Linked DNA regions of Kluyveromyces lactis. The protein of the gene in region 2 interacts with the protein of the main gene of each other region in a pairwise test. Links are inferred from orthologs where the notes say so. Each region holds a gene or a part of one and is shown on either strand. Other genes may lie near its edges.

Region 1 (3,249 bases), on a different chromosome or scaffold from region 2:
AAATCAAATGATTGAATCTTAGCCTTATATAAATTAACCGATTTTATTTTCTCTTTTCTTCTTTCTAGGGTACCTTTTGGCTCAAAAGAAAAAGTGGAATGGGAATCATCAAGTGACACTTTTACTACAGGCAGTATAGGTGAATAAGCACCGGAGCATTTTTGTTATGAACACATATACCACTCACGGTAGATGACTAAGGAGGAAGCTTGTGAAGTGAAAGAGTCTTTCTTTTAGTGCGGGAACCCATGGGCATTATCGCTATTTTAGCATACGTAGATTGTATTTCTTAACGATTGAACACGTCAATATGTATTTTGAAAAAACGTCACATGACAGTTTCGAAACGATTGGAAATTCCATGGGAGGTATGGTCATGCATAGGTGGCACTGGTGGCGAATAGATGGAAACTTGATGAAACTACAATCACTATCTCATTCGTCGGGGGCAGCTTCCCCTTTGTGAAGGTACTAAATGTAAGTTCTATATAAGTGCATTGCACAAAATGTAACTAATACGGACAGTGCTGGTGTTGATATTGTGAGGATACATTAACAATTCACTACCAGTATTAACACTTAAACGATTTCTCTTGAGCATGCTACTGGATCTCCAATGTATAATTCAGATGGCTGAAATTATTAATAAATCGCCCAAAGAAATGTTTAATAATCATTCTGCCATTTCTAACAATGAGTCTACGCAAACACCGACTCTGTATTTGCTAGCTATGCATACGTCTCGAATAAGATCTGGGTCTAAATCCGGAAACATCAACTGTAATGTTTGAAGTGTATTTTCTTGCTCTTTATGCTCCATCTGTTGTGCCAAAACGGTGGCTGTATGTTCGTCGATCTCTTGATGATCTCTGGGAGATCTATCCTCATACTCTGGTGAAGAGGGTGTTGGAGAAGTACTTGTGTTCCAAAAGTCGTTGAGTTTAGTTAGCACTGAATTTGCAGCATCATCAAGCGGCTTGAGTATATACTCACTTGGCGAAGGTGACACAGTACGGTGTGGGAACTTGGTAGATGAATCCTTTGGATTTAGAAGTTCTTGCTTTTTAAGATCCTTGATTTCCTCCTGATTCTGAGAATATTTCTTGTTGAAGTCTTTATCCGTTTCTAAGATGCTGATCGAATCTATATCCATATCTAGAATGAAATTGACCGCTCCTTGTAAGGTGCTTAAATAATATGCGTTTTCTCCCATCAAGAACGATGGAAATCTAAATCTTTCAATGTAACGAACGTTGCTGATAAGATGAGGGACATCGCTTTTGAGCAAAGTAAATATTAACAATGGTACAAAGTGATCCGCACCACCATTCAACTTGTTATTGTGTTTCAAAAGCCCGAATAAAACTTTACATGAGTTTAGAACACAAACCATTTTATCTCTAGGGGAGCGATACTGGTTGATTTTGGCCAGTTCTTTTGCGGAAAGTGCTATGAAACTGTGAAGTTTTCCGTTGATCAAATCCGGAATGATATCCAAATGTTCTGGGCCAAGGAATCTGAACTCTAAGATTTTGTCCCTTAACTTGGCGTCATCTAAAAGATCCTGTTCATGCGTAGCATCTGAACTTCTCTTCTCGTTCACTAGACAAGGAGAAAAACACTTATAATAAAGTTTCCCCATCACTAATTTCTCTATTCCTTCCTTAGCATTCTTTATCTGCGCATCACTGAGGTCTCTGAAGGCTTCATTTGTCAGAAGTTTATCATATATGAAAACTTTAAAGTCATTAATGAGCTTCTCTTGTTCAGATGTTGTCCAGTTTTCTCGTTGGCTTACAAAATTCCTAATAAATGATTTGGTATGTTTGACAATAGGATCTGCCTTAGGGTCTCGCATTATCTTGAGAAATGCTTGAAAGTCATAGTAATTATTCTTTTCATCTAAGTTTTCCCCTACGTCAGCTAATGGCTTCTCCGAAATTGTCTCTGGAGAAGCATTGAATCCTTTATCGTCGTCTGCGTCCATTTGGGATAAACAGATGTCACCCTCTATGAATGTAAAAAACAGTTTCGCTGTTGGTTCGAAACCATTTACGATTCGCTAGGGTTCTTTTCGTAAAATGGCGTTCTCGATCAAGAGTCAATCTTGTTCTTTATTTACATGTTTGATTTATTTCTAAAGGTTTGGCAGCCTGAAAAATTAAAAAAAAAAGTTGTCAATATACATATATCTCATCTCAGGTGGACCCCTCTGGTAATAAAGCTTTACATGTAGAGTTGTTATACTTCAATTAGAGTACAATAAGCTACTTGAGTTGGTCGCTTTTAGTTTGGTATGTGTGGTATTTTGGCATATTTTGGTAAATCATTTGGATCAACTCTTACTGATGAATTCCAAGAACTATACGAGAAAGACCTAACAGGACCAATACAGTCATGTAATAGTAATACGTTATTTAATGAACTGATACCGTATATCGTGAGAAGAGGTCCAAACTATGCGTCATTGAGATCGTTATCTGAAATTAATGCTATGTTGTTCTCATCTGTATTATCTTTAAGAACACCATTCACGAAACAAAGCGTCATGGTACAAGATCGTTACCTTCTACAGTATAACGGGGAACTGTATAATGATGATACTGTTGAAAATTGTGAACACAGTGATACGGAATATATTTCTTCACTTTTGGAAAAGCATTCTGTTGAAGAGGTAGTAAGGAAATGTTATGGAGAATTTGCGTACGCAATTACTGATCTTCAAGAACGAAAGGTATATTTTGGGAGAGATAGCATCGGTAAGCGAAGCTTGAGCTACATATTACTTGATGATGAGCTATATATTACCAGTGTAAGTGGAAGATGTGACGGTTTCCAGAACTGTCTAGCCGGTGTCATTTATATCTTTGATATTAATACTAAACAACTCACAGGTTCCGTTAAAATTCACGATGAGCCATACATAGTCTCCGACCAGATTGATAATGATTTCCAATTATTAGAAGAGTATAAGATTAAATTGTACGAGTGCCTTAGACGATCGGTATACCAAAGAATAGTTACAATTCATCCTATGCATTTGGAAAACGGAAATATTAGCATTTTATTTTCTGGTGGATTAGATTGTTCCGTAATCACAGCACTACTGTGTGAACAACTCATTAAAATTAATAGGAATTCTGAAACGATAATTGAGCTTCTGAATGTTGGTTTTGAAAATCCTAGAACTGGTAAAATGCCATCAGACTCGCCTGACAGAATATTAGCAATAAAATCTGCACAACTTTT
Region 2 (2,519 bases):
GGTAGCAGTAACCGGAGATTCACGTGCTATTTTGGTAAAACAGTCTGACGATGGTGCTTGGACTGTAAAATCCTTAAGTACCGATCAGACTGGTGATAATGTACAAGAGGTCGAGAGAATCCAGAAGGAGCACCCTGATGAACCAAACTGTGTACGTCAGGGTAGAATACTAGGATCTCTCCAACCTTCAAGGGCTTTTGGTGACTACAGGTACAAAGTGAAAGAGATAAATGGGAAAACCGTTTATGATCTACCTGACCATTTGAAGATATATTTCAGGAGGGAACCTAAAGATTTCTTGACACCTCCTTACGTAACAGCAAAGCCGGAAATAACCACAACAAACGTGGACCCTAAAACTAAATTCATGGTTTTAGGATCTGATGGTCTTTTCGAGTTGTTGAGTAATGACGAAATCGCAGGTCTCGTTGTGAAATGGATGGAATCACATCCTATCAAAAAGAATTTCAAAATGTTGAAGGAACAATCTCCACAAGGTAAATTACCAAAGCTAGAAGACATCTCCCCAGACAAAGAAGCACAAAGGCCTGCTTTTAGGTACCAAAGCTCCAAAAAACCTGACTCTAAGAGCGAATATCTCATGCAAGACGAAAACGTAGCAACTCATCTAATCAGAAACGCTCTCAGTGGAGGCGGTAACAAAGAATACGTTTCTACATTGGTCAGTATACCTCCAACGAAGAGTAGACGTTACAGAGACGACTTGACTGTCACCGTTGTCTTTTTCGGTGAAGAAACTGAGGGCATTGATGGTAAATTAGAACTCAACCACAAAGCCACCAAACCAGAAGAATCTAAACTCTGAACCCGCAGTCTTAGCATAAAAGTGTTGTTATTTAGTTAAATAACCGTTTTTGACACTTATATAAACACACTGATTCGAAGGAAGGTTCACCAAGCACGTGACCTACTATCAACATTCAAAAGCCTTGTTTTCGTTATGGGAAAAGATACTAAAACTAAATAAAACTAAAAAAAGGATGAACGATGCTCCCTACTTTTATTGAAACGTAACGTTTACAACCGGAGTAGCAGATTGCTCTATCGGTAACAAGAGTGTACGAATTAGTTTTTGAGATTGTAGACAGACACATTTTCTTCTAAACAATCTCTCGAGCATACAGTCATCATATTAACCAACTTTCGAAGAAGAAATCTTGATTTACCTGGTCGTCATTGATATTAAGGTCATTTTCAGTTGTAAGGTACTAGGAAATGAATTCAAACGTTACGTCTATCAAGTTGGTACTCCTAGGAGAAGCTGCGGTGGGGAAATCTTCCATTGTTTTGCGCTTTGTGTCCAATGATTTTGCTGAGAATAAAGAACCCACTATTGGAGCAGCCTTTCTAACACAGCGAGTAAATATGGCTGACCACACAATAAAGTTTGAAATCTGGGATACTGCTGGTCAGGAAAGATTTGCATCGTTGGCCCCAATGTATTATAGAAATGCTCAAGCAGCTTTAGTGGTTTATGATGTAACAAAGCCGCAGTCATTTATCAAGGCTCGCCACTGGGTAAAAGAATTACACGAACAAGCGAGCAAAGGGATTGTAATCGCATTGGTTGGAAATAAGATGGATTTGTTGGAATCTGAAGAGGATAGGAAAGTAGCCAAAGAAGAGGCTGAAAAATTGTCACAGGAAGAGAACCTTTTATTCTTCGAGACTAGCGCTAAGACTGGTGATAACGTCAACGAAGTGTTCTTGGCCATTGGAGAGAAAATACCCTTAAAGAAGTCGGATGGGTCCAATACCGATGGGTTACGTGGAACAGAAGATGGAAGGATCGACTTGAACAAACCCGATGATACCTCGAATCCCAACTCATGTGGTTGTTAATACTCACGACCCTATCCTCTTTTTAGGGGAAATGGCCTAACGAAATGATTCATATTAACAATCGATGAAATTAATTTTAACCAGAGGAAAGGAGCCAATAGAACAAGATATCTACCGTGCCTATAATATTCCAATATCATCATAGTAGAAGTTTAAGATAACCAGTAATACATAAATCAGTTAGATTTACATTTTTTGTACCTACATTTTATTTCTATATATATTGGCGTAGTGAATTTTTCGGATCCCCGTATTGATCGATTATTCATGAATTCAATCATAGAGAACTCTATTCAGGTAATGAGATGTATGAATGATGATACATGCGTGATGAAACTCTAAAGGATTCAACCTGGGTTTTAAATTGTCATGGATGGCCAAGATGAGGAGAATGATGTGCTATTATTGGAGCGTACTGCTAGCTCGTTTTTTCGTTACAAGGAATTTGCGTTAGAAGAGTTCTGGCGACCCAGAATACTTAGGTGGGAATCACTGTCCGAGCATCAGAAACAAATGATACCATGGTATAACTCATATCTTGAGGATGTACATGATGCGATCGAAACAAACTCCATTTTTTACATGAATCTGTTGGAACGTTCTGTGAAATTGTGGGGATTAAATAGTGATCCAAACTTATGGGCTCAACCCAGCGG

Evidence for each region. The genes of interacting proteins can lie anywhere in the genome.
Region 1: the proteins of VPS21 (region 2) and VPS9 interact in a two-hybrid assay, tested with the Saccharomyces cerevisiae proteins (3 studies listed by BioGRID, with this or other methods). The link is inferred for Kluyveromyces lactis from reciprocal best matches to the Saccharomyces cerevisiae genes VPS21 and VPS9.

Annotation. Positions count from the first base shown.
Region 1 is NC_006040.1:867,458-870,706, forward strand, and holds VPS9 (guanine nucleotide exchange factor VPS9), read right to left. Parts: upstream 1,988-3,249; coding exon 674-1,987; downstream 1-673. Other genes in the region: KLLA0_D10285g (putative asparagine synthase), read left to right, coding at 2,297-3,249.
Region 2 is NC_006039.1:1,172,093-1,174,611, forward strand, and holds VPS21 (Rab family GTPase VPS21), read left to right. Parts: upstream 1-1,236; coding exon 1,237-1,863; downstream 1,864-2,519. Other genes in the region: type 2C protein phosphatase PTC5, read left to right, coding at 1-826; KLLA0_C13750g (S-adenosylmethionine-dependent methyltransferase), read left to right, coding at 2,233-2,519.